Linked DNA regions of Callithrix jacchus. The protein of the gene in region 5 interacts with the protein of the main gene of each other region in a pairwise test. Links are inferred from orthologs where the notes say so. Each region holds a gene or a part of one and is shown on either strand. Other genes may lie near its edges. The genes, in order: KDM8, NAA10, PRKAB2, SMAD3, MEOX2, FUCA2 and RPL15.

Region 1 (3,584 bases), on a different chromosome or scaffold from region 5:
GTGTATTTCATACATCGTCACAGGTGCTAGAAAGAGAAGCTCAAGGGCTGCAGGAACACAGAACACTGTTGGAGAATCTTGGCAGGTCTCACATACAGGTGTTTAAGATGGGCCTTAAAGGTTGGGTAGGAGTTTGCCAGGCAGCGGAGGGGTATGGGAGGCAGGGCAGACAAGGACAATATACACGTTGCTTTCTGAACACACATTTGTCCAGTGCTCGCTGAGTACCAGGTGTTGTAACAGGCCCTGAAGATACAGCAGTGATACAGACAGAAGGGGGCCGTCCCTTCCAGAGGTCCCCAGCAGAGAAGACCACTGTTGAAAAATCCTCCCAGATGAGATGCAGGAAGCTGCAGGAAGGCACAGGGGACAGGTCTGTCCTGGTGTCTAACTCTTGTTTCTCTCCGCCTCCCCAGGCACGGGACCGACTGAGCTGGCAGTGGCCCAATGGCTGGAGACACCCACTGCCCTGAAGAGCCCCTAGCCGGAGAAGGCACTCTTTGGGAGGCCCTCAGGGCACTCCTGCCACACACTAAAGAAGACCTGAAGCTGGACCTCGGGGAGAAAGTGGAGAGGAGCGTGGTGACGCTGCTGCAGCAAGCCACTGAGCTCTTCTACAAGGGCAGGAGGGCCGAGTGTCTGCAGACCAGCGAGGTGATCCTGGACTACTCCTGGGAGAAGCTCAACACGGGCACGTGGCGGGACGTAGACAAAGACTGGCGCCAGGTCTACGCCATGGGCTGCCTCCTGAAAGTCCTGTGTCTGTGCCAGGCACCTGGGGACGCCACCACTGTGGCTGCAGCCCTGCGGGTCTGTGACATGGGCCTGCTGATGGGGGCAGCCATCCTGGGGGACGTCCTCCTTAAAGTCGCTGCCATCCTCCAGGCACACCTCCCTGGAAAAAGGCCTGCCCACGGCTCCACCCCGGAGCAGCCCTGCACAAAGGTATGTGGGGGAGATTGTCCCCAAGCACAAGAGCCATCCAGCAACCCTGCTGTTCTAGAAATTCCAAGTTATCTCTCCCCTGGGGTGGAGCCTCATGGCCTGCAACCCCTCTGACGGAAAATAGCATCTCCATTGATTCTGAATTCCTGTTTGTTTTTTGAGGTACGCTCCCGCTCTGTCGCCCCAGCTGGAGTGCAGTAGTGCAATCTCGGCTCACTGCAGCCTCCACTTCTGGGCTCAAGCAATCCTTCTGCCTCAGCCTCCTTAGTAGCTGGAACTATGGATGCGTGGCAACACACCCAGCTTTTTTTTTAGTTTTATTTTTTATTTTTATTCATTCTTTTTTTGAGACAGAGTCTCGCTCTGTCACCCAGGCTGGAGTGCAGTAGCATGGTGTTGGTCACTGTAACCTCTGCCCCCCAGGTTCAAATGCTTCTCTTGCCTCAGAATCTGCGTACCTGGGATTACAGGTGTCTGCCACCATGCCTGGCCAATTGTTGCTTTGTCAGTAGAGACAGGGTTTCACCATGTTAGCCAGGCTGGTCTCAAACTCCTGACCTTGTGATCCACCCACCTCAGTCCCCCAAAGTGCTGGGATTACAGGCGTGAGCCACCACGCCCAGCCTATTTTTTATTTTTTGTAGAGATGGGGTCTCATTATGTTTCCCGGGTTAATCTGGAACTCCTGGCCTAAACGGATCCTCCTGCCATGGCCTCCCAAAGCACTGCGATTACATGTGTGAGCCACCATGCTCAGTCCCCATTGATTTTGAAAATAGACAGCTCCATTCATTTTCTCAAAAAAAAGGAAAACTTCTTTTTCCTTTTTTTTTGCAAAAGCAGCGCTCTTTCAGCAGAGAGGCAGCAGGGAAGCTTCATGGTTCCTGAGAGAAAGAGAAACAGCTTAAATAGATTATGTGGGCGAGAGTTGCAGCCAGCAGCGGCCCATTTCTTTCAGCTTTTTCTTGATGGGCTTGCTGAAGTCTCACCCAGGCAAGGTGATACCTCTGGCTGCTCCCATCTCTCTGCTCCCGGGTTTGAATGAGATACTACAAGTAGCTGACATCTGTTTTGGGGATCGATCTTGCCCACCCCTTGAGTCTATGTCTGTTCCAAAGACCACCTCCATGAACAGAACATGGTTTACTCCTCAGGCCCTGGTGCTGACATACAAGCCTCACAGCAACCCCAAGCAAGTCACTTAACCTCCTTCGAGCCTCGGTCTCCTTGTCTGTAAGAGTGGCAGAGTACCGACCCACAGAAAGAAATGGCTAAGACTGTACTAGACACTCAGTACTGGAATTATGGGATGTTTTTGACATTTTTTCTAAATGCTTTGCTATGTTTTCAGAATTTCCTACAATACATATTCTTATTCTTATTATTGAGATGGAGTCTCACTCTGTCACCCAAGCTGGAGTGCAATGGCACAGTCTGAGCTCACTGCAACCTCTGCCTCCCAGGTTCAAGTGATTCTCCTGCCTCAGTCTCCCAAGTAGCTGGGATTATAGGTGCCTACCACCACAACCGGCTGATTTTTGTATTTTTAATAGAGACGGAGTTTTCACCATTTGGCCAGGCTGGTCTCCAGCTCCTGACCTCAGGTGATCTGCCCACCTCAGCCTCTCAAAGTACTGGGATTACAGGTGTGAGCCACCACGCCCGGCCACATATTACTTTTATCTAAGAAAAATGCAAATGATTGTCAGTAAACACACATGCATGTAACCAAAATAAAACAAAATCCAATAAAGGGTGAAGAAAAATTGTCAACAAATATGTCAGACAATGAATATCTCTATTATGTAAGGAATGGTACAAATCAATAAGGAAAAAATCTTGAGCCCCAGGAGGTAGAAGTCGAGGAGCCTGAACAGACTGTTCACAAAATGAAAATAGATCATGCAGGAAAATATTCAACCTCACCTCGGGTTAAAAAAATGAAAGAGGGGGCCAGGCATGGTGGCTCACGCCTGTAATCCCTGCACTTCGTGAGGCCGAGGCCAGCGGATCACCTGAGGTCAGGAGTTCAAGACCAGCCTGGCCAATATGGTGAAATCCCATCTTTACTAAATGTACAAAAATTAGCCAGATGTTCTGGCACACACCTGTAATCCCAGCTACTCTGGAGGCTGAGTTGGAAGAATTGCTTGAACCCAGGAGGTAGAGGTTACAGTGAGCCGAGATCACACCACTGCACTCCAGCCTGGGTAACAGCAAGACTCTGTCTCAAAAAAAAAAACATAGCTTACTGCAGCCTCGACCTCCCAGGCTCAGGTGATTTCTCCTGCCTCAGCTTCCCGAGTGGCTGAGACTACAGGTGTGCACCACCACGCCCGGCTTTTTAAATTTTTTCTAGAGATGGAGGTTTCTCTATGTTGCCCAGGCTGGTCTTAAACTCCCAGGCTCAAGCAGTCCTCCCACCTTAGCCTCCCAAAGTGCTGGGATGACAGGCATGAGCCACCATGCCCAGCCATTCCCCAGCAGTTTCACACCTGTGGACACTAGACACTGAGGCCTCAAACAGCAAGTAACGCCTCAGGTCACCCAGTTGGGAGATAGTTAAGTAAATGATGGTGCAGCCACTCCTAAAAAATTGCAAGGACTGGGTGGCCATGTGGAAACTGCTTTTGATAAAT
Region 2 (2,692 bases), on a different chromosome or scaffold from region 5:
TGTTCTCCTGCAGTAACCGGGCCGCCCTGCACCTCTATTCCAACACCCTCAACTTTCAGTAAGTAGATCTTGGTGTCTGTAATGGGTTGGGGCTGGTCCCAGGTCTGGCTGTCAGGGCCGCTGAGACCAGCTGAGCTGCTTTCCAGGCAGGGGGTGGGCTAGCTACGGGGAGGAGGCTGTGGATCCCAGCGCTGCCAAGATGCCTCCCCACTCACTTGGTGGCTGATGGCTGAAATGTGCTCCATGTGTGTTGTGATGGAGGAGCTCTGGCCCATGCTGGCTGAGGCTGGTGAAGGGCACAGGGTTGTTTAGTCATGTTTGGGAATAGAGATGTGTGGGTCTCTGGCATGAGCAGATGCTAAGGAGCAGGACTCTGTGTGACCAAGCGCCTGGAAGCATCTAAGAGAGAGCAGAAGCAAGGAGAATGCATGTTCAGGAAGAAAGGGCCGGCGGCCAGGCAGCCTAGTGGATGGGGCAGGTCTGCCGAGGACCCGGAGGCCCCGTTTGCCTGGCCCAGGAGAGAGAACCTGGCAGTCAGTGTGCCCAGTAGACAGTGGAAAAAAGTGCTTGCAAGTGAAGCTGGGGTGGGCTACCCGTGTGCCCGTGGAGGGATGCTAACTGCACTCAGCACCAGTTTGACTGTTGGGAAGGGCGGTGGCCTCGGCTGGGTGCTGGCAGGAAGGATCTGTGACCCAGATGAGGATGTCTGGTGGAAACTGCTTTATAGTGAAGTCAACAGTCCTCATGTCTGAGGTCTGACAGGGCCAGCCTTCCAGGACATGGCCACCCGAGCCTGCACGCGTGCCTCCCCAGTGCGGGCTGGGCTGTGCTGCATAGGGATGCAGCCCTCAAACGGGCTCACCCACGTTCCTGTATTTTCATCACTGTGGTGAGGCAGCTCAGTAAGGGATAGGAAGCAGGGCAGAAAGGGAAGGGGAAGGCTGAATTCAGGGCTTCAGCTCACAAGAAACCACAGAAGGGGAATCCTTAGTAGCCAGGCTAAGGACACAGAACAGGAACAGGACAGGGGTGGGGCGGGCCACTGTTACCTGGAGCCTTTACTGGAAGTGGGGCCACTGGAGGATTCTTTCAGGCTGGACTTGCTGTCTCAGGATGGAGCCTTCAGGGAGAAAACATGTCACCTTGCTTCAGTAGCCATGATGCCAGGAGCAGAGGAGGATGTGTCCTGGGTATGGGTCTTCCTCCTTGCTCTCTGCCCTCTGCCCCCAGGATCAGTGAAGTGGAGCCCAAATACTATGCAGATGGGGAGGATGCCTACGCCATGAAGCGGGATCTCACCCAGATGGCGGACGAGGTGAGAGCGCTGCAGTTTAGCCAAGCGAGGCCAGTGGGGTCGGCCCTGTGGGCGGGGGGGAGGTGGCGGCACTTGAGAGCCCTGGGACAGTGGCTGGAAGCAAGACCAACTTTGGGCGCCAGCCCTTGTGGCCACATTGCCAGGACTCACGGCCTCAGTTTCCTAGGCTGGGCTTTAGAGGAGGCTGTCTGCCTAGCAGCAGCCTGGAGGGTGGTGGGAGAGGCAGACGGAGGAGGCTTTTAGAAGGGAAGTGGGACAGCCTGGGACCAGTGGGTGGCCTGCCTGCTCAGAGGTAGTTCTGAGTCAGGGTTCTGCCCAAGGTGGCAGGGCTGTTGAAGGGGCAGCACTCGGTCGTGGGGGCCTCCATGGTAGTCAGTGAACCCAGGGAGCAGTGGGCAAGGCTCCAGCCAGGTGTCCCCACTCAGTCCCGTGTGTCTTTCCTAGCCCTGCTGCTTCTCATTATGCCCGTCCCCTCAGCCAGCGACAAGTCCAGGCTCCCCTTGTCTGGAAACTTAGGCCCTGTATCTTTGCTCCCGCTTCTCCCTGGGCTCCTGGCGGCAGCTGAGGCGGCACCTGGAGCTGAAGGAGAAGGGCAGGCACATGGTGCTGGGCGCCATGGAGAACAAGGTGGAGAGCAAAGGCAGCTCACCTCCGAACTCAGGAGAGGCCTGTCGTGAGGAGAAGGGCCTGGCTGCTGAGGATAGTGGAGGGGACAGCAAGGACCTCAGCGAGGTCAGCGAGACCACAGAGAGCACAGATGTCAAAGACAGCTCAGAGGCCTCCGACTCGGCCTCCTAGAGCCTGCCCCGGCCCTTCCTCACCCCACGAGCTTTCACAATAAATTCGCTCTATGGCACTGGGGAACTTTGTGTGTGTGTGTGTGTGTGTGTGTGTGTGTGTGTGTGTGTATGCGCACGTGCGCTTGCACATTTAGAAGGTGTGTTTCTCCAGCTCCTCTGTCTGGTGGGGATGTGAACCTCACAGCCTTTTAAGCCAGGGCATCCTGCCAGGCCCGAGTAGAAGGGAGGAGCTTTGTGAGAGCCTTGGGGGTGGGACTCCCCAGTCTCATAACCTTCAGCAGCTGTGGCCCCAGGGAAGGAGGCCCTAGACTTCCGGGAGAGACCCTGCCTCAGAGGCCTGCTCGGCCACGCCGAATGTGTTTTGTGCAAGCCTCGGCCGCTCAGGCTCAAAGCTCAACAGCGGGCTCCCATTCTTCAGTACTTCTGCTTGGCTCTTGAGTGTCCCACCTCCAGCCCTTTTCTCTCCTAATCACACTTGCTTTGGGCTACAGCAGCTCCACTACACCCCGTGGGCTTCAGATGTAGACATCCAACTGCTCATTGGGCCTGTCTACAGCTGTCCTGTCTGAGTAATGAC
Region 3 (3,584 bases), on a different chromosome or scaffold from region 5:
CATCCTGGTCACCATGGTGAAACCCCATTTCTATTAAAAATACAAAAAGTTAGCTGGGCATGGTGGTGCGTGCCTGTAATCCCAGCTACTCAGGAGGCTGAGGCAGGAGAACTGGCTGAACCCAGGAGGCGGAGGTTGCGGTGAGCCGAGATCGCACCATTGCATTCCATCCTGGGTAACAAGAGCGAAACTCCGTCTCAAAAAAAAAAAAGATAATGTAGCAAATGGAGTGTATCACATGTGATACGGTAAACATTACACCATGAGACTTTTGTTAGCATGTGCGTGTGTGTGGGTGTCTGCAGCAAAGAAGAGACCTAAGCTTACAAGAGAAATCTCAATGTCTCTTTCCCCCTCTCCCCTTCACCCCCCGCCCCACCCTGGCTCACTCTCTTCTTCTTTCTCTGTCTCTCTCTTTCTATATATATATACATACAGAAACAACTTTTGGGAAGGTGCAAGAAAGACACAGCAAAAAAAGAGTAAATACTACAAAATTACCTCTACAAGATGCCTCAGAACTTTCCATAGAGTCTAGCTTTAAAGCATCGAACACCTCAAAATCCGATTTCTTGACATGGATCAAATTGTTAATTGTGCCGAGCTGACTGGTAACCACAGGCTGAAACAGGGAAAAGAAAAAAATACTGAATCTCTCTTTCAAATCCATCTTTTCCATCCAACCTTCCTCTTTTATCCTAAAATTTACATGTGATTAGACTCAGCACCTCCATATTTTATCAAGAGAGAAATCCTCCAGTGTAGGGGAGCAGCTGCCCATCAGTCTTGACAGAAGTGACAGCTAAAATGGGGCTGCTAAGTCAGTGGTTACCCTTGGAGATCAAGGCCTTACCTCTGATGGATCATGAACCCACTGTCCATCCACAAAGAACTTGTATTGGTGTTCTCCCTCAGGGAGGTCCAGGATGGCAACAAAGTCATTATGGCTATGAAGAAAAAGAAAAGCAAACAGGCCGAGTTCCTTTCAGAAGACCAAATATAAAAAACAAGTGGCAATCACAGTATCACATGAAGGATCTCCCAGATTCCTAAGCCACTGTATCCCCTGGTGTGAAAAACAATGTATAAACCCATTCTCCTCTTTTGTATCATCTTGGACGTGTATTTACCAGCTCCTCCCAACAACGTTAGTTCTTAACCAGTATCTGGAAAAGAATAATAAAAGCATGAATCCTCTGGAATGGTGCACCCTAGCATAACTACGTTGCTTCAGCAGAACAAGCTCCTAGCCAGTGCAAAGAAGATAGGTAGGTTCAGGACACAGTGCCTCAAGGTATCCTTTCTCTATTTCCGTGAACCTTTTCTGGAAAATGACCTACCATACAATGGGCCATTCTGACAACCAGTTAGACCATTCATTATTGCTGTGGGAGCAACAAATAACATGACTAGCTAGAACTTCAAAATGTGTTTTGCTTTAGTGCAGAAGTCAGGGCAACAAGCCTCAGCCAGTTACAGAAGACTTCCCACAAGCACAGCCCTAATGAATGGAGCCACAAAGCTATTATGAATCCCTCTGAGGCAATCATATTCGAAGGGGTAAAACATCTCTGACTCACTATGAAGTTTAAAAAAATCCCACAGATATACTAAGTGGCCACAGAAAGGGCATGTTCTAGAGAGAGTCCTTAGCAGTGGGGAAAAGTAGTCCAGTGGCGTTTCTCTTCTGAGAAAAGAAATTAGGTCACTATTCCTGGACCCTTAGATTCAACCAAGACACTTGTCTTCACCTCTTAATCAGTGGAATCTTGGTGCTCCAATTGTTGAAGGACCCAGAGATGAAGACCTCCTTGCCTCCTTCAGACCAGCGGATAACAGTGGGCCGGGCCTGCTGTGTGGGCTTTACGGAGTCCTCCAAATCCTGCTGCCAGGATACAAACTCTTTGTCCCCAGGGAGCTGTAAGAAGGAGTAGGTCATCCCTAGAATAAACTGTGACCCAAGAATTCTAAAAGGTCACTCTCCTCCCTAGGGTAGAGAAGGATGCTAGGCTTTAGCTAAGGATATAAACCCCACAATCAGCAACTAAATCTGAGTTTGAACAAATTATAGAAAAAAAAAACTCATTTAGGACCAAAAATGGTCAAATGGCCTATGCTTAAGTACCTCCTAAATCATAGCCTGACTTTTGAGTCTACCTGCATCATCCACCCTTTCCGCGCCTTAGACTCTCCTTCAAAAAAAAGCAAGAAAAAACTATTCCCTACCACTAGTTTAACTCATAAGCAGGCAATTATTATACACTTCTGAGTCTTTAAGAGAAAAAAACATATAAAAACAAAGTATGGTTCTATTAAAAAATAATATATATTTTTATAGGCAAATATGAATAGCTCTCAATTACCAGCTGTAATGGAAGTTAGAGACATCAAAATTCATAATTCATAAACGCTATTTCTGCTAATAAGTTACAAAAAGAAGAAACAGTAAAAACTCAAAAACCGGATCACTGATTTCTTAAAACTTGAGAAGTAGCTATGAAATCTTACTTGCTCCCCTGTGCTAGGTTTATACTAATTATTTCAGGAGTAGGAACAAAAATTCTAGAACCTCAAGGAGCAAGAGATCGAAAATACAGTTTCCTTTATCAAGAGTAGTAATCTTACCAAATGAGGTATGTGGGATTGCAAAAAAAAACATCTCCTGTTTCTTTTCATTATCATCCTTTGGACCAAGAGTTGGCAGACAGCCAGTGAGCCAGATGCTTTTATCAAGTTTTATTTGAAAACAGCTCCACTTATTTGTCTACCTATTATTTATTTATTGAGAAACGGCCTTGCTCTGTCACCCAGGCTAGAATGCAGTGAGTGGTGTGATCATAGCTCACTGCAGCCTTGAACTCCTGGGCTCAAGCCATGTTCCCAAGAAACTGAGACCAGAGGTGCGAGCCACCATCCCTGCCTTGTTTACCTGTATTACTTATAGCTACTTACAAGCTACAGTGGCAGAATTGCACAGCTGTAACAGAGACTGCATGGTCTACAATGTCTAAAATAGTTACTACCTGGCCCTTCACAGAAAGTTTGCTGACCCCTGTTTCAGATTGGTTTAAGTGACTCTGGTAAATGAGACTGTAGATTATTAAGCCTAAATATTACCAAATAGAATAATGTGGGCTTCCCCCCCCCCCAAAAAGGACTGGCTTATTCATTTGGGCCTTCTTTTCAAAATGGTTGACATAGTTTCCCCTCCATACATTCTCGTGATATTCCCCAAAACTACAGTACGAGACATCAGTAGCAGGATAATCCAAAGTAAACAGAGAAAGAGAATTGAAAGGACTTTCACATTATATAAGGAACTGACTTAAGAGAAAACTACATATTCTCAGAACAATGTACTCTTGCATGACTGACTGTGTTAGAATTGCAAGAATTTTACATATGCCTAAGAATAACCCTAAGATTCTGATTCAGATATAAGATCTGGGAATCTATTTTTAAAAAGCTTCCTAGATAATACTGTAATTATGTTAAAATAAAGTAAAAAAGCTTCCTAGACATACCCTGATTATGTTCAAATAAAGAAAAATCCCTCATCTTTAGAAGTAGATCTAAAATGTTAC
Region 4 (4,178 bases), on a different chromosome or scaffold from region 5:
TCTGGCCTTATTTTGTGTATTCCGACACACCTCACAGGGCTTTGTAACTCCCCACCCACTTGAAGGTTTGCAGATAACTTAAAAACAAAAAAACAAAGCGGGGGTAGGGGGTGGGGGATTCCTGCTGTTAAAAACAAACAAAGGACTTAGACACTGCCTAGTTTGATGTGGGAGGCCGCAGCAAGAGAAAGGCCCAGGGTACCGGAGTATTTCCTGAAAGTCACCAAGGGGCCTGCGGGCAGACGCCCCTGAAATCTTTTGGTGGGGTGAAAAGACCGGAGCTCCACAATGTGCCAGTTGGTTTGTTGTTGTTTTGCTTTTTTATTTTTTTTTAAATACATAAACTCCCAAATACTCCTGTCTTGCCTCACTTTTTTGTGAGTTCATTGCTTTGGAAACAAAACTCTCTTGCATTTATTGGGTGTCAAATTTCCGATCTTTCTCTATCAGGAGATCCAGCAACACCCGGTTATGTAAATTTCTTCCAAAGATAAATTTAAAAGCATCCCCATTCATTCCTTTTAAGAATTCAACAGATGTCTTTGAGGCCCATTTTCTGCCGGGTACTCGCTTCACAAGGCTCAAGGGACCCCAGGCTCCAGCCATTGTCAAGGTTGTCACTGAGATCCCAACTCTCCACTTCTGAGGACCCACTTGTCCCCACCTCCCCGCTTCGCACACGTTCCGGAGGCTCTCAGCCGGTGTGATCTCACCGTCGAGAGAATAAAAACAGCCCCCGGGCGCCGGAGCCGGCCAAGGGCCTTGACGGGGATCAGCGAGCGCAAGGCCAAGTGCGCGCCCCAACTTCCTGGGCCCGGGCCTTCCGCGCGCCCCCTCCCGGGCTGGGGTCCTCTCCAGGGTGCACTCCCGCCGGGACAGCGCTTGCTTGCTGCGAGTCCAACCCTCTCCGGCCCGCAACTGCAATCGAGCTGCCCGAGCGTGGGCTCCGACAGCGAACGCCAAGGGCCGCGCTCAGCCCTCCCTCCCGCGGCCCTTCTCGCCGCGCCTTTCCCAAGACTTCCTCCCCGCGCCCGCCCGACTTCAGGTGGGGGCTGCGCGGGATCCCGTGCGCTCCAGCCAGGACCGCTGCCGCCCGGGTCGCCCACGTGGGCGTGCTGGGCGTGGGGAGGTGGCGAAGTGGCCGGCCAGCCGGCCCGCCGGGGGCCAGCCGGGAGCTCTCCCCTGAGCAGGGGGCGGATAGGACGCCCGCGCGAGGAGGCGGCGGGGCGCGGGGGAGGAGGCGGGGAGCCCCGGCGGCGAGGGGGCGGTGACAGCGCTAGGAAAGGAGGCTGCACGCGGATTTGCATGAAACACAGACTGGGAGCGGGCGGGAGCGGGAGCGGGAGCGCGGCGTACGCCCCGGGCCGGCCCAGCCAGCGAGCGAGCGAGCGGCGAGCCGGGAGGAGGAGGGCAGCGGGGCTGCGAGGCAGCAGAGGCGGAGGGATCTGCTCATCAAAGCTAGCGAGGCGAGCGAAGTTTGGCCGGGGGTTGGACTTTCCTTCCCGGAGGCGGCACCCAAACAGCTACCCCGTGCGGAAACCCAAACTTCTGCTGCCACTCGGAGTCTCGCGGCCGCCGCCTCCGCCCCGCGTTCGGGGCCTTCCCGACCCGGCGCCGCTGCCGTCCGCCCACCCGCCTGGCCGCCGTTTTCCCCGCCGTGGGAGCAGCTCCGGGCTCAGAGCGGCGCGCCGAACCCCGCAGGCTGCAGCGCCGCGGCCCGGCCCGGCGCCCCGGCAACTTCGCCGAGAGTTAGGCGAAGTTTGGGCGGCCGAGGCCGGCCCCGGCAGAGCTCCCCTCTGCGCCCCCGGCTTCCCGCCGAGTACAGCCCCGCCGGGGGCGCTCCTCGCCGCCCGCGCGCCCTCCCTAGCCATGTCGTCCATCCTGCCTTTCACTCCCCCGATCGTGAAGCGCCTGCTGGGCTGGAAGAAGGGCGAGCAGAACGGGCAGGAGGAGAAATGGTGCGAGAAGGCGGTCAAGAGCCTGGTCAAGAAGCTCAAGAAGACGGGGCAGCTGGACGAGCTGGAGAAGGCCATCACCACGCAGAACGTCAACACCAAGTGCATCACCATCCCCAGGTGGGGGCCCGCCCGGGGGACCCGGGGGCAAGCAGCGCAGCCCCCTGGCACTGCGGGGCCGACCCAGTGGGGTTGGAGATGGGAAGAGGGAGAGAGACTGTGTGCGTGCGTGTAAGAGTGGGGAGCAAGAGCAGGGGCAGGAAGGGGGTGGGGGGACCCCAAACAAAACCATCTCTGTATTTGCAAAGATCAGAGCCCGAGGCTTCCACGCGGCACTCTCGCTTCCAAACCTCACATTCCCTTTCCACCCCTGGGAGGGGAGAGCGGGTTGCTGCGGGACTCGGCCGCCCCCACCCCGGGGAGCTGGGGCTGGAAGTTGAGGCCCGCTTTGTTCGGCTCCGCGGGCCGGAGCCCCTCCTCCGCCGCCGCCTCCCGCCCCCGCGGCCCGCGCTCGTGGAGGTGGTGGTGTCTCTGCGTTTCTTTTCTTCAGTCCGGTCTCCCCACTTCTTTCCTCTACAGGAATGCGGTCCGTACAGCTGGGGCTGTGGGTGAGGAGCGGGAGCCTCGTGATTGACAGATTCCTTCTTCGTTCTTTCTTTGCCTTCGGGATTAGCGTTTTTATCGAGTATTTTTAGATTCGGTTGTGCCAGTCTCCCGCCCCCTGCGCACGCACGCACTTTGGTTGCAGTGCAAATGCTCTGACTTCCAAATGGGAGAGACAAGTGGCAGAAAATAGGGTCTCCTCCCTCATTTCCCACCCCTCATCCCGACTCTTTTGCCCTCCTTTCAGTCCAAGAGATTTTGAGTCGTGCAGAACGAGGGAGAGGGGCGGGCTGGAGCCGGGCAGATAACAAAACACACCCCGAAGTGGGCCTCGCATCGGCCCTCGCATTCCTGTAGAGCCCTCCTTCCCAAAGCGCTCTGCCATCTGTCTGGATCTCCTTTATCCTTCCCGTCGCGCGCTAGCTAGGTCGGGCGGGAGCCCACAGATGGCTGATAGAAGGGGTCAGTGACTTCACTCCCCCAGGGGCTTCCTTAGCTTAGCTGTGCCTGATTGGGAATTGGGGGTGGAGGTACCTTGGCCTCCTGTCTCTACCTCTCAGTCTTCTTTGATTCCGAACCAGGGGAGAGAGTGTGTGTGTTGGGGGGTGGCTGTTTTGGAGGTCCTAGGCTGCAGAGGAATGATTAGAGAGCACCAGGGACTGTCAGCCATGAAGGGCTGTCATCCCTGTTCCGGAGCCAGGGTGGACTCCATCCTTGGCCACCTGCTTGGGGCAGTTGTACAAGGTCTGCCAGGAGAGTCAGGCAGGCACAAAGCAACATCTGTCTGCAGGAACTCAGGGCAGGCTTCCCCTGGAAATAAATGCCACATATGGTGGGAGTGCGGACTTAAACAAAATTCTTTTTTAACTGGGTGGATCCAGTCAATAAAGGGGGAGGGAAGGCGGTGTGCTGTCTGGGGAAGTCTCTGGGCGTGTGATCAGGAGCCAGAATTGACTTCAGAGGAGGTGGTGTGATGTGATGGTCAGAGAGACCTCGGGGTTTGGTTCCAGCTCGGGTTCTTAATTCTTCTGTATTTCTTCGGTGCGGGTGGAGAGGGTAGAGTGGGTGAGTATCCTACTTCTCTGTCTGGGGAGGGGGCTCCCAAACCTACCTTGTCCGTATCTGCCGTGGTGCATTGAAGACAAGCGCTTTAAGCGTTGAAAAAGAAAAGTGGTATTAATTATACAACAGGCAGCTGTGAAAAGTGTTTCACAGTTTACAAAGCACTTTCACATGGTTTCCGAGGTTCTCAAAAAAAGCAAGCAGGCAACCAGCCAAGCCCTGGAGAGTAGGTTAGGTTGTTAGGCCTAAGATTATCACATTTTTAAAGTTGAGAAAACTTTAGGAGAGAGAGGTGCAAAGGCCTGGGTAGTAGACACGGGCTTCTGACCGCATGTGCTCTTTCTGCTGCCCCACGCTGCTTTCTGCTTTGAAGATCTGAATACATTCTTTGCTGAATGCTAAAGCCCTTTTAGCTTGGGGAGGGCCCTGTGGACCTTTGTCTGTGCCGTTGCTCCTGTATCTGTGGGCTGTTGATGGCTTGGCGGAGAGGCCTTGCTTTCCCTGGTCTTGGTAGTTTGTCCTCTGTGGGGTTATACCTTTGGCCTGCCTTTTCCTCTT
Region 5 (4,384 bases):
GAAGCCACCATTCTGCAGCGTGACTTAAAAGAAAAGATAGGCTTAAACAGGGGGACTGGAAGAGGAGAGGAAAGGTTCTGCTTTGGGGACACCTCTCAAAGATTAATCAATACTTTTTCCTAATTCAAACCAGATGTCTAGCCCAGTTTGCTGTACCCATTAATCCCATTAACAACTTCAAAGACCTGGTCACCATCCTCTGGACACCTGAGACAATGAAAATAACAGGGCGACACTGCTGGTGGTGCAGTCGGGGCTCCGGGTGGAATAGGTGACTACAGATATTCTCCTGATCCGACACGTCCCAGATCCGACGTGACTGTTCCTCCTGCTCATTAAAGCCCATTCACTTGTGTATAAACGACTGTGCCCCAGCGGATCTTGTCGCTCACCAAGCAAGTGGCAGTATCAAAGCCCTGCCCTCGCTCTCCCATGCTTACTGGAGGCAAGTTATCGAGTTTATTTTCAGGGATGCAAAGATGTAATCAAGCGCCCAAGCTTAGTGAATTCTTAGAGCTATCGAAATTTAAGATTTCTCAGTAAATGGAGCAGTGGTGTTAAGAGACACGATTAGTGGATTTATTTTTGAGCAGAAGAGTGGATTTCTAGAGGGAACTGAAGAGACCTGGGCTAGCTCCGGAGGGGAGAGGCTAGAAATGTGCATGCAAATCTACACATCTCATGTGACTGGGACAAAATCGCTTGGAAATAATTCTTGACCCAGGAAAATTTCTTCTTGGTGGACGAGTGGCTAGGAAATTGAGCGAGACCAGGAAAGCGGGGGGGAGGGAGACTCCACCGGGCATCGCACGTGAGGATGCCAGAGAGCAGGCATCTGCAATTCGCGCTTACCTCCCACCCACCCCACCAGGTCTTCCTTAGGTCTTCCTCTCAGGTCTTTCCGCACTGTGAACCACACTTTCCAGGCCATGGTGCACGTCCCCGAAACCTCAGACCTGGCGTCCCAGCCTCTTAACCACCACCCACAGAAACTAACTGCGAAAACCTAGGCGCGCGGCGGCGCCCTGGGCACGGGAAGATGCGAAGTTTGAAAAACTTCCAGAGTGCGCCAGGCTAGCTCTGATCTTTTCCTTTAACCCTATCACTTCTTTCGTGTTCCTCAAAGGCTAGGCGTATCCCTAGCTTTTCTGCAGGTGACAGTTCCCAAATGACACTGACAAGTTACGTTTTCCCAAGAGAAAAATTAGTAGGTGGGAAACAGGGTGCTGGGTTGGCGCTGGTGCGCGCCGCGCCCTGGCCTCCAGAGTCTGGAGGGCAGAGCCGCTGCCCTCCCGGGCGGGATTTAGACGCTGGCGCGCCGCTTGTAGTCCTGGTAGCTGGCAGGGCTAGGCGGGCGTGGACGCTCTGCGTCTGTCCAGCCGGCGATAGGAAGTGGAACTGGGAGCGCGTGGCGCAGACTGAGCGGGAGTTTTGGAGGGAGTTTGCATGTGGTCAACTCTGGGCTCCTAAGCCAGCCCCCAGCTCACGTTACAGTCTATTTATAACCTCTCAGAGCCATTTCCCCCTGAAGGCAGTTCACTGGGACCACCTTCTTTTGGCTTCAACCTCTCCCACTCTTGACATCTGAGTAGCTCAGGGAAGCTCTTCCAGGTCCGACTGTTCATATGTAAAGGAGACTGGCCGTTAGGGCTCAGGACCGGGATTATCCGAGCTCTGCAGAAGTGCACGGCTATTGCTTTGAGAGGGGTAAAAAACATCACACGGTTTCCAGTGAAAAGTGACAGAGGGTGGTGGCCTTTAGAACCGCCGTGAAGTCTTCTGCCTGGAACCCGAAACTTGCATGCTATGGAACACCCGCTCTTTGGCTGCCTGCGCAGCCCTCACGCCACGGCACAAGGCTTGCACCCGTTCTCCCAATCCTCTCTAGCCCTGCATGGAAGATCTGACCATATGTCTTACCCCGAGCTCTCTACTTCTTCCTCATCTTGCATAATCGCGGGATACCCCAACGAAGAGGGCATGTTTGCCAGCCAGCATCACAGGGGGCACCACCACCACCATCATCACCACCATCACCACCATCAGCAGCAGCAGCACCAGGCTCTGCAAACCAATTGGCACCTCCCGCAGATGTCCTCCCCACCGACTGCGGCTCGGCACAGCCTCTGCCTCCAGCCCGACTCCGGAGGACCCCCAGAGTTGGGGAGCAGCCCGCCTGTCCTGTGTTCCAACTCTTCCAGCTTGGGCTCCAGCACCCCGACCGGGGCCTCGTGCGCGCCAGGGGACTACGGTCGCCAGGCACTGTCACCTGCGGAGGCGGAGAAACGAAGCGGTGGCAAGAGGAAAAGCGACAGCTCAGGTAAGAGAGCGCCAGGCACCCTCGAGAGTGCGCGCCGGCCTGGAAAGGGGGCGGGGAGATGCCAGGGAAGAGTCTGGCCCTGGAGGGTGGCGGCGGGGAAGAGGGGAATGTGTTAAATTCGGCGGTGAAGCTTTGGTCCTGTTATTTGGGGGCACGTGTTTATCCGAGAGCAACACAGCTAGCAGCTCTAAGCTCTCCAAGGTCCTAAACTAGTTTACCAGAAGGTTGATAAAAAAGGACAAGTGGCTGTGAAATCGATTGCGAAGCGTGACCTTCCATCCCAGCGCGGGGGAGGGAGGGGCGTGTGCCCAGGGATGCCGCGTCCGTTGGGCAGGCGTGCGTGCGTGCGGGTGCTGCTTCTTGACTTTTCTCTTGCAAGTTCCCGACTCTGAGTGGCTTGACTTTTCCCATCGTAAACTGGATTTCCAAATTATTGCACAATATTTGGAACTTGCAATGGAACTTGGCAGAGCACATGAGAAAAAAAAAAAAGTTTTAGTTTTTTTTTTTTAAACATTCTTGTTTGAGAGTTCTTTAAATAGCACCCTATTTCAAATGGTAAAAATTTCCCCTTCTTAGGGAAGAAGATATTATCTAGGAATTCAGATTTTAAGGAATGTGTCAGAGAATTGTAAATAAATACATGCTCACGCTGGAAGAAAGACGAACCTTAATATAGTACATGTTCATGTTGTGTAAGTTAATTACAGAATCTAAATTTCAAGAGTGGAAAATAAATCCCTCTACCAAGTTGGTTTTAGCTGCGGCAAATACTGGGTAGCGAACAGCAACTTGGGTAGTGTCAGTTAGCTACGTGCCTGAAGGTCGTATGCAAGGGTGCGCAGGAAGCGCTGATTTCAGTGAGGATAATTTGAGCAGCCACGCAAAAGGGGAATCTTCCTGACCTCTGGTGCTTGAAGGCACAACTTGCAGAGTAAATTGTAGCAATCCAGAGAAACTCAAAGTTTTCCAGACAACTTTTCAAAGCTCTGACCTACTTCTATTATCATAAAATTGTTAAAAGATACTTTAAAATTGAGAGACTTGTGAGTTTTCTTTCGTGGCTATGGTGCACCCTGGCTTCCATCTTTTTGGAAGGTATTATTTGTTTAATATAATATTTGTATATTTTTCTTCCTCTGCGGAACTGGGTTAATAATAGTCCTAGAAGGTAATCCCATATATTGGTTTGAAGGATTGGAATGTTTATGCTTTTTAAAGCTTTAGGTGAGATGTCACATAAATGAAAATGATTGACCGCATGTTTAATATTCCTCTCCCCTTCGCAGCAATATCAATCGTTCTTCAGCGTTAGTATGGGATAGATTCTTCTGTCAGAAGAATAAAATAACTTTTATTTTCCAAGGATAGGGGATGAACTTTTAATGTTCAATCACAAATTAGTTTTTATAAGAAAGTTAGCAGTGGTGTCACTGATATTTACTGTATTTTCCTAACTATAAGTGAAACTCCCTTTAGATAGTGGAAGGTTAATCGTTGTAAGAAGGTTTCAATTTTTATTAGAAAAACCGTCGATTTTAGAATGCAGTGACAATTTTATAAACTGAACATTCGATATCAGTGTAACTTTTGAAAGAGATCCCAGTTCAGGCTGATGAGAGTACTCTTGCAATTCCCATAAGCCCTTACTGTTCATTTTATTTTTCTGCAATGAGAAACCTACATGATAGCCTTATGCTTCCGGAACTGAGCCACTGCCCTTAAGTTTCTTAGGGCAAACAATTTTCATGCAAGCACATGTTATTTTGTTTGGGGGAAACCAAGAAAATGGAATTCAATAACTGATTTCCTTAATTTATTTTAATAAAACTTTTTTTTTTAAAAAGGAATAATTTAATAACATTTGTCTCTTCCCCCAACTGTGTGGGAAATAGCCATTTAACAAAATTAAGTTCATTTCTACATGTTGAAGCTGATAATGAGGGTAATGGAAAAACAAACAAATATAAGTGTTTGTGTCAGCTGAATAAATTATGAATAAATTAAAACTTGAGTGGAAAGTACAAATAGTCACCACCAAGGATAAAAATGCTGGGCACTTAG
Region 6 (4,262 bases), on a different chromosome or scaffold from region 5:
AGTTGGGGATTCTGGCTTTACTTTGAAAGCACTTAAGAGGTGGAAGAGAGGCCAAGCATGGGGGCTCATGCCTATCATTCTAGCACTTTGGGAGGCTGAGGTGGGTGGATCACCTGAGGTCAGGAGTTTAAGACCAGCCAGTCCAACATGGTGAAACCCATCTCTATGAAAAAAAACTACAAAAATTAGTCTGCTATGGTGGTGGGTGCCTGTAGTCCTGGTCACCTGCGAGGCTGAGGCAGGAGAATTGCTTGAACCAGGGTGGCAGAGGCTGCAGTGAACCTAGATTGTGCCACTGCACTCCAGCAGGGGCAACAGAATGAGACTGTCTCAAAAAACAAACAAACAAACAAAAAACAGGTGGAGGAGATAAGCTTCCCAAATGTCCTTTTGATTAATCATTCCAAGGTGTTGATGGCTTTTCCCAAGCTTGCAGATTTCTTAAACATTCATTCCACTGGTTTCACCTGTCTCAGATAATCTGCTTGTTTAATGCAGTGGTTCTCAGGAAAGTTTGGCTCACTGCCGGCAACGTCAGAATCTTTTTTTTTTTTTTTTTTTTTTTGAGACAGAGTCTAGCTCTGTTGCCCAGGCTGGATGGAGTGCAGTGGTGCCATCTCGGCTCACTGCAACCTCTTCTTCTCGGGTTCAGTTCAAGCGATTCTCCTGCCTCAGCCTTCCGAGTAGCTAGGACTATAAGCTCACACCACCCCACCCCCCCTAATTTTTTGTATTTTTAGTAGAGACGGAGTTTCATCGTGTTAGCCAGGATGGTCTCAATCTCCCGACCTTGTGATCTGCCTGCCTCCGCCTCTGCTGGGATTACAGGTGTGAGCCACGGCGTCCGGCCCAACAACAGAATCTTCTGGGAACTGGGTAGAAATGCAAATTCTTGGGCCCCAACCTAACTGCTGAATCTGAAGCTCTTGGAATTTCCTCTGACATAAATTCGAGGTTGACAGCCATGGTTCTAACATACAGACCTTGGGAGCTGATACAGAGGCTGAGAACCATCTAGGTTACTTTCCATGTTCCATCTTGGCGAGACCTGGCTGAGGTTACTGCCCTGACCTTCTCGTCCACGACTCGGACGTGTGGAGCAGCACTCAGGCGGGCTGGTGGCGTGGTCCTCTTGGGCAGATATTTGGGCAGGGTCGTGCCTGCTTGAGGGCAGAGGCGCTGGTCACAGGGCCCTGACGCAGACTCATATTTTCCCCCTCAAAGCGGACAGAGCCTTAGCAAAGCCATGGCAGCTGGCTTTGGGGTAATGGGGGCCTCCTTAGTCACGCTGAGCGATGCAGCCCTCCTGGGGTTATTGCGAGTGCCCGGGAGAGTGGCGACTCCCGCCCCGGAGGGGGAAGGGTGGCCTGTTTCCAAGTCCGGCTTGGTCAGGTGACAGCGGCGCGGCATACTCAGCAGCAATAAAACGGAAGGACAGCCCCTGTGAGGCCGCGCCAGCCTGCAAAGAAGACAGCCGGCCCGCGCGGGGGGACATGCGGCCCAGGGAGCTCCCCGGCCTCGCTCTCCCGCTGCTGCTGCTGCCGCCGCTGCTGCCGCCTTGCCCTGCCCGCAGCGCTGCGCGCTTCGACCCCACCTGGGAGTCCCTGGACGCCCGCCAGCTGCCCGCGTGGTTCGACCAGGCCAAGTTCGGCATCTTCATCCACTGGGGCGTGTTTTCCGTGCCCAGCTTCGGTAGCGAGTGGTTCTGGTGAGTGCGCTCCTCTGCGTCTTCTCTGCCGCGCTCTTGTTCCCACCCGCAGGCTCCAGCCACCACCCAGCGGGCCTGGTGCTGCCTGCACCCTCTTCGGTTTCACCTCCCACTTCCGGGTTTCGAATGTGGGGTTTCTTGCCGAAGTGTGTCGTGCTGAATGAACAGGGAATTTTTCTTCCTGTAACTGCAAGAGTTTTCAGACACACCTGACTCCTCAGCTTCTTCACAGTTGCCCATATGAAGCTGTAGTTATGACACTACAACATCGAGCTACTAGAGACACTCATCAGTTTGTCCAGGGCCATCACATGAGCGCGGACTCAGACACAATGGCTCGTGGCTGCTCTGCCAGTTTGCAGTCATTCTGGAGTGAACTTATGGTTAAAACATAGTCATGAGTATGTGAAACGACTGTTCATTTGAACACCATTGGCTATTTAAGGTTAATATGTTACCCATGTGTGGCTCCAGGAACTTTTAAAAGAGGTTCTGGAATGGTACTCTTAACGCCACCCAGTTATACTGCCATATGAAAGGTGCTGCACAAAAATCCGTGCTTTAGATTTTACTTTGAGATCTATGTGAGAATGTGCATATAATTTCTTAAACTATTGCACATGTCTTTTCTGGATAAATGCTACAAGTATGAAGTTCTTTAAAATAGAAATATTTTGTGTGCATATACAGATACATGCACATAATATATTCTTTTATTTTATATATTTATTTAGAGACGGAATCTGACTCTGTCGCCCAGGTTGGAGTGCAGTGGGCTGGTCTTGGCTCACTGCAACCTTTGCCTGCTGGGCTCCAGCGATTCTCATGCCTCAACCTATGGAGTAGCTAGGACTACAGGCATGCGCCACCATGCAGGCTAATCTTTTGTATTTTTTAGTAGAGATGAGGATTTGCCATGTTGGCCAGGCTGGTCTCGAACTCCTGACCTCAGATGATCAGTGGTGGCTCACGCCTGTAATCACAGCACTTTGGGACACATAATATATTCTTAAGTAAAATAAAGGAATCATTAAACAATAAGTATTTATTTGACTATATACTACATAAATAGTATACATCCAAATTAACATACTATATTTAATAGACAATACAGAGTATGAGCTATATGTTATATTAACATTACACAGTATACACTATACCATGCTTACGGTAGGGGTAGAAAAATTACACCACCATTCTGTTAGGGTCTCTGCTGGGTCCGAGAATTAAATAGACATTGTGTGATTAAATTATATGGGGAGGCTTAAAAAATAAGAGTTATTTGAACAAGGTCTGCACAGGATTCTACTTCTTATCTTTGAAGCTTAGGATGTTGCCTTTTCTTCTAGTATAGAGCATCTTTCACACTGGAATTTCATCTTCTGCTCCTAAGAAACAGCACAAGGGTCAAAGTGCTTTTCATGCTTCTGCTATTTTTCAAGTTTCTTTACATTTAATAATATGCCACAGTATCATATTTTAGCCCTTTCATTACAAAGAGATTGACCACCTGCAACCAGTAACCTTTCTTATTAGTAGGCCAGTTGATGTAAAAAAATAAAACTGGGTAAGCTATGGAGAATTATTCATGTACTTTAAATAATTCAACTTGTAAAACAGAGACTCTTTCTTCTTATACCAAAACATAGCTACTTCAAAAAGATGTTACAAATATTTATTTGCATGTTTTGGGCGGTAAGGAATCTTGAGTTTATTTTGGAAATGTTTTAGGTTAGTGTGGTACATAATTAACACATTTTCTTCCCCCTAAATTGTATCTTATATTGTCATTTTCTTCAATCGTGAAGATTAGGTAAAGATATATTGGTACCAGAAGAGGATTTGACATTTGTTAAAACTAGTACTATGCCAAAATAAAACAGCTACTTTTGAGTCGTTTTATTCTTTGCTATGAATAACTTCATTTTCTACAAATAAACCTATGGTTGTTTGTTTTGACCTAGAATAAAGGTCAATAAAGATACTTCTCATACTAAATAAAATGAGAACACATTCCTGAAGATCTGGAAATGCATTAACCCTGTGGAAGATTTTTTGATTATCTATGATTTCCCTTTGTATCCTCTGCTCCTTACTCTCAATTTGACTTTCAGGCAATCAACTGTACAGATGAGTATATCTGACTGTCCTAAATGGCTATTTTTTTTTTTTTTTTGAGACGGAGTTTTGCTCTTGTTACCCAGGCTGGAGTGCAATGGCGCGATCTCGGCTCACCGCAACCTCCGCCTCCTGGGTTCACGCAATTCTCCTGCCTCAGCCTCCCAAGTAGCTGGGATTAGAGGCATGCGCCACCATACTCAGCTAATTTTTTGTATTTTTAGTAGAGATGGGGTTTCACCATGTTGACCAGGATGGTCTCAATCTGTTGACCTCGTGATCCACCCGCCTCGGCCTCCCAAAGCCTAAATGCCTATTAAAAACCAAATATAAATGATGGACTTTCTACCATAAATGCCTCTTTTCATCTCTCAGCATGAAATTTGAGTCTAGACTGTAGGGGAGAATGCAGGTTCAAATTAGATGATACTAGGAG
Region 7 (4,232 bases), on a different chromosome or scaffold from region 5:
TGAATCAGTCCCCACTCTTACTCCTAGACTCTTATCTTTTGAGGTCCTATCTTAAATGCTGCCTTCTCTAAAAGACTTCACCTGGACATTCCATCCCAAATGGCAAGCCCCCGCCCCGTAACACTCCCTCATCGCTTCCCTCCCTTTAGCGTATTTCCTTAGCATTTACCAGCAACCCCAATACACAGCTTACTTCTGCCTGGTGCCCGTTTCCAAGAAGGCCAAAATTTCTGCGTTTGCTGCTGCAGCCCTAGCAGCTATGCCTGGCACGTATTAGACACTTAATATTTCTTGAATCAATCAATGAACCAGATGGGGACTCTTAAAAAGGTAAGGCTGTGATTTAAAAATACAGAAAACTATGATGTAGGGAAAAAAGATAATCAAAACCGCTGCGACTAAGAGATACGATTCTCTTCAACCTTTGCCACATTTGAACGCATAATCTGGAAGGAAATTAAAACCACATGACTGTATCAAAAATGAAAATATTCTGGAGAAGCAAAATAAGCCAGTAACCTATTTCTCAATTTAAAAAAAAAAAAAACGCAACGCAAAATGCCAGCATTTTCTCGGCGTTTCTTCCCTAAAACATTCACAACTGCCAAGACCTGTTTAGGTCTTGGAAAATAAATATTTTGCTTTTCTGAAAAACTGTGGTTCTGATGTTAGCAAATTTGGGACGAAATCCGTATGCAGAAAAACCGCCCAGCTGCCCGCAATCCACCCACTCCGTGACCCTTTTTAGGACAAAAATCCCTGGGAGCTGGGGCCTGAGAGCGCGTCACACAGACTGGAGCTGAAGGGACGCAGTGAGCGCCCCCATCCGCGTTGCCCCCGGCTCCGCAAAGGCCTCCCTGGGGGGCTGGGAAAGCGTTGAGGGGTCTTAGCGCAGCGCTGGGGCCCAGATTTCTCCGCCTGTCATGCGGGGGCAGGAGAGGGACAGAGTAGCTTGGAGAAACCCGCAGAGACTCCGCAGGGGGAGACCGCGGTGCGCGAAACAAACCTGTTCTCTCCTCCGACCTCGAAGACACTGGCTCCACCGCGGCCCGCGGCCACCGGCTTTGGAGCCTGGAGCCCAACTTGCTTCCTCCCGCTGCGGGATCTTAGCCGACACTCGCTTGCCGGCCGAGGCCTCGCAGCCAACTCTCTCACCCTTCGAGACGCCCAGGCCGCTCAGGCTCAAATCCTGCGGAGTAGGGGACGGGACAATCGGGACGGCTGCGCGCCACTCGGCAGAACTCCGCCCACCAGGCGCGATGCCGGAACTACATGTCCCATGAGGCTCTGGGAGGCCGCAGCTTTCCACCGGAAAGAGATTGGCTGAGGTGGGGGAGGAGCCCAAAAAGGATTGTGGGAGTACAGCTCTTTCCTTTTCGTCTGGTGGCAGCCATCAGGTAGGCTGAGTTGGGAATCTGCTCTTCCATCCGCCTTTTATCGTGTTCGTCTTCAGCCATCCAGGCTCGGGGACCCTGCATCCTCGGAAATAGGTCTCCCTCCTCTCCGACAAGAGTTGGTCAGGATGCGGGACAGCGAGGGGGTGGAGAGGCGCCCCCCGGGGTGGGTTGGGCGAAGATATGATGGCGGCGCGAATTCGAGCTGGGCCCGGAGCCTGGAGGAGGCGTGAGGCTGACGGATGTGGCGCCCGGAACAAGGCAGCCTAAGTGAGGCTGCTGGTTGGATGGGGTAGATGCATTTTCCTCGAGAGTTAATCCTCCGTGGCGGCAGCAGTACCTTGCCCTGTGGTGTCAGAGACATCTCCTTGCAGGTCCGCCTTGGGGACGCCGCCTGCCGCAGCCACCCGCCCCCTCGGTGCTCAGCTCTAGTTCTATTGATTCCCCCCACCAAAACGTGCCGAGCGCCACTCCGCGTCGCAGTTGCGGAGGTGACTGAACGCGGCTCCGTGGGCGCTGCTGTGGGGGTTGGGCTAGCTGTCTCCGGCGGTTGGTGCCGAGCCGTTTTCATTCCCGCGGTGTCCTTGTGCTTGTTGGGGAACTAAGATGGACGGGAAGGGTCGTCGTCTTACTGTACTTAAAGCGGATGATATCTAATGCCCAGTCTGATTACGCAGGTAAGCCAAGATGGGTGCATACAAGTATATCCAGGAGTTATGGAGAAAGAAGCAGTCTGATGTCATGCGCTTTCTTCTGAGGGTCCGCTGCTGGCAGTACCGCCAGCTCTCTGCTCTCCACAGGGCTCCCCGCCCCACCCGGCCTGATAAAGCGCGCCGACTGGGCTACAAGGCCAAGCAAGGTACGTGATCGACTGCGTGGATGCTTGGATGAAACTATTCGAGAAAAGTTGGAAACTAACTGTTAGGAAGACACTGTCGCCCCGGTGTCTTTCTTCGGATAGGGCTTTGGCGAAAGAGGTAGCAACACTGGTCAGTTAAGGAATGCACCGTTGTCTAAAGTGGCAGGTGTGTTAAAGATTACAAATTTTAATGAGTTTAAAGCAGAATCAACAGTGTGCCTCCTGTGTGATTAATTGAAAAATACTGGAATGTGGTTTTTTTTTCCATTAATAGCAGTAGCTTACTCTTGAAGTATTTTTGGTGCAGTGTTAGTAACAAGCCATTGAGTCTTGGCTTCCTATAAAGTCCCTAATTTTGTGTGTGTTTGTGTGTAGGTTACGTTATATATAGGATTCGTGTTCGCCGTGGTGGCCGAAAACGCCCAGTTCCTAAGGGTGCAACTTATGGCAAGCCTGTCCATCATGGTGTTAACCAGCTGAAGTTTGCTCGAAGCCTTCAGTCTGTTGCAGAGGTAAATGGTTTTAAGTAGCAGTTACATTGAATACTGCTTGGAGATCGTGAGAGAGACAGATCTAAGCAGCTTTTCTGATTGTACTTAGGTGAGCTGTCTCTTGAATAAAACAGGATTTGTGATTTTTATTAATCTTGGTCAAGAGTAATTAATTGCTTGAAAGACTTGTAAATCTTTGTTACAAATGTGTGTGTATAAACTGGAAGTACTTGTGGAACCTAAGCTTTTGAGGCACAGTAAACTTTATCTTAGAACACATTTCCCCAATTGTGTAGAAGCTGCATTTATGTTGCTAATTTTATGTAGTCAGTTGCAGGTTTTCTTCCAGGTTAGTAAATTAAGCTATGTTCTGTTGTAGGCATTGGCAAACTAGGGACTGTCTCCACTAGCTAAAAAATTTTTTGTTTTGTTTCTTAAAGAGTCAGGAATATCCAGAAGAGACCAAATGTGGCCTGCACAGCCTAAAGTACATACTAAATATTGTTAAAGCTGAACATTTCTGAGCTCTCAGTTGTATTGGAAAAAGATAAGGTCCCCAAACCCTAAATTTTGTTAGCCAGATGTTAACATTCGTGCCCTAGTGCAGAATGGAGTGATAAGGGAATGAATGTGTTTCAGTGTATGTTTATGTGTGGTGTTTTAGCATGTCTACTTTATCTCATTATGCTTACTGGAGACAGTCTGGGGAGAGATGCTTAGTAAATACTTGGAACAGTAAAAGACTAGTCTGGTGGTGAACTAGAGGTGAGAAAGTTCTTTCAACTTGCTGCTATAGGCAATGTGGGAGACTGATGGTGGGCCTTTTTTCCTATTCTAGGAGCGAGCTGGACGCCACTGTGGGGCTCTGAGAGTCCTGAATTCTTACTGGGTTGGCGAAGATTCCACATACAAATTTTTTGAGGTTATTCTCATTGATCCATTCCATAAAGCTATCAGAAGAAATCCTGACACCCAATGGATCACCAAACCAGTCCACAAGCACAGGGAGATGCGTGGGCTGACATCTGCAGGCCGAAAGAGCCGTGGCCTTGGAAAGGGCCATAAGTTCCACCACACTATTGGTGGTTCTCGCCGGGCAGCTTGGAGAAGGCGTAATACTCTCCAGCTCCACCGTTACCGCTAATATAAGTAAAGTTTGTAAAATTCATGCCTAATAAACAATTTAGGACAGTCATGTCTGCTTACAGGTGTTCTTTGTTAAAATTAGTCTGCTGATTGTTTCATGAATGCTTTGTCAAATTCAAGTGCAATAATGTTTGAAGACAATACGTGATATGGTGTATGTTTCTAATAAGATAAACATTTTTGTCTTTGCTTTATCTTATTAGGGAGTTCTATGTCAGTGTATAAAACATACTGTGTGGTATAATAGGTTTAAAATAAACTCTTTAAAAGAAAAGTACTGAAACTAGCCCTGTAGATTTGTCTGGTGCATGTGATGAAACCTGCAGCTTTATTGGGGTGCTG

Evidence for each region.
Region 1: the proteins of MEOX2 (region 5) and KDM8 interact in a two-hybrid assay, tested with the Homo sapiens proteins (2 studies listed by BioGRID). The two-hybrid records come from large-scale screens. The link is inferred for Callithrix jacchus from reciprocal best matches to the Homo sapiens genes MEOX2 and KDM8.
Region 2: the proteins of MEOX2 (region 5) and NAA10 interact in binary tests that used the Homo sapiens proteins (3 or more experiments, as listed by UniProt). The two-hybrid records come from large-scale screens. The link is inferred for Callithrix jacchus from reciprocal best matches to the Homo sapiens genes MEOX2 and NAA10.
Region 3: the proteins of MEOX2 (region 5) and PRKAB2 interact in binary tests that used the Homo sapiens proteins (3 or more experiments, as listed by UniProt). The link is inferred for Callithrix jacchus from reciprocal best matches to the Homo sapiens genes MEOX2 and PRKAB2.
Region 4: the proteins of MEOX2 (region 5) and SMAD3 interact in binary tests that used the Homo sapiens proteins (3 or more experiments, as listed by UniProt). The two-hybrid records come from large-scale screens. The link is inferred for Callithrix jacchus from reciprocal best matches to the Homo sapiens genes MEOX2 and SMAD3.
Region 6: the proteins of MEOX2 (region 5) and FUCA2 interact in binary tests that used the Homo sapiens proteins (3 or more experiments, as listed by UniProt). The two-hybrid records come from large-scale screens. The link is inferred for Callithrix jacchus from reciprocal best matches to the Homo sapiens genes MEOX2 and FUCA2.
Region 7: the proteins of MEOX2 (region 5) and RPL15 interact in binary tests that used the Homo sapiens proteins (3 or more experiments, as listed by UniProt). The two-hybrid records come from large-scale screens. The link is inferred for Callithrix jacchus from reciprocal best matches to the Homo sapiens genes MEOX2 and RPL15.

What each region holds. Positions count from the first base shown.
Region 1 is NC_133513.1:27,795,564-27,799,147, forward strand, and holds part of KDM8 (bifunctional peptidase and arginyl-hydroxylase JMJD5), read left to right. Parts: intron 1-416; 5' UTR 417-447; coding exon 448-945; intron 946-3,584. UniProt on the Homo sapiens protein: Bifunctional enzyme that acts both as an endopeptidase and 2-oxoglutarate-dependent monooxygenase.
Region 2 is NC_133524.1:149,842,154-149,844,845, reverse strand, and holds the end of NAA10 (N-alpha-acetyltransferase 10), read left to right. Parts: intron 1-13; coding exon 14-58; intron 59-1,093; coding exon of another isoform or gene 1,094-1,230; coding exon 1,231-1,315; intron 1,316-1,831; coding exon 1,832-2,113; 3' UTR 2,114-2,179; downstream 2,180-2,692. UniProt on the Homo sapiens protein: Catalytic subunit of N-terminal acetyltransferase complexes which display alpha (N-terminal) acetyltransferase activity. Acetylates amino termini that are devoid of initiator methionine.
Region 3 is NC_133519.1:7,286,794-7,290,377, forward strand, and holds part of PRKAB2 (5'-AMP-activated protein kinase subunit beta-2), read right to left. Parts: intron 1,919-3,584; coding exon 1,752-1,918; intron 948-1,751; coding exon 854-947; intron 623-853; coding exon 502-622; intron 1-501. UniProt on the Homo sapiens protein: Non-catalytic subunit of AMP-activated protein kinase (AMPK), an energy sensor protein kinase that plays a key role in regulating cellular energy metabolism.
Region 4 is NC_133509.1:14,107,589-14,111,766, forward strand, and holds the start of SMAD3 (mothers against decapentaplegic homolog 3), read left to right. Parts: upstream 1-1,307; 5' UTR 1,308-1,869; coding exon 1,870-2,075; intron 2,076-2,449; exon of another isoform or gene 2,450-2,536; coding exon of another isoform or gene 2,537-2,541; exon of another isoform or gene 2,542-2,563; intron 2,564-3,497; exon of another isoform or gene 3,498-3,623; intron 3,624-4,178. UniProt on the Homo sapiens protein: Receptor-regulated SMAD (R-SMAD) that is an intracellular signal transducer and transcriptional modulator activated by TGF-beta (transforming growth factor) and activin type 1 receptor kinases.
Region 5 is NC_133512.1:42,792,461-42,796,844, forward strand, and holds the start of MEOX2 (homeobox protein MOX-2), read left to right. Parts: upstream 1-1,527; 5' UTR 1,528-1,806; coding exon 1,807-2,320; exon of another isoform or gene 2,321-2,361; intron 2,362-4,384. UniProt on the Homo sapiens protein: Mesodermal transcription factor that plays a key role in somitogenesis and somitogenesis and limb muscle differentiation. Required during limb development for normal appendicular muscle formation and for the normal regulation of myogenic genes.
Region 6 is NC_133505.1:150,287,162-150,291,423, reverse strand, and holds the start of FUCA2 (plasma alpha-L-fucosidase), read left to right. Parts: upstream 1-1,451; 5' UTR 1,452-1,493; coding exon 1,494-1,708; intron 1,709-4,262. UniProt on the Homo sapiens protein: Alpha-L-fucosidase is responsible for hydrolyzing the alpha-1,6-linked fucose joined to the reducing-end N-acetylglucosamine of the carbohydrate moieties of glycoproteins.
Region 7 is NC_133518.1:62,266,447-62,270,678, forward strand, and holds the start of RPL15 (large ribosomal subunit protein eL15), read left to right. Parts: upstream 1-1,355; 5' UTR 1,356-1,664; exon of another isoform or gene 1,665-1,885; intron 1,886-2,071; 5' UTR 2,072-2,081; coding exon 2,082-2,253; intron 2,254-2,628; coding exon 2,629-2,765; intron 2,766-3,582; coding exon 3,583-3,888; 3' UTR 3,889-4,232.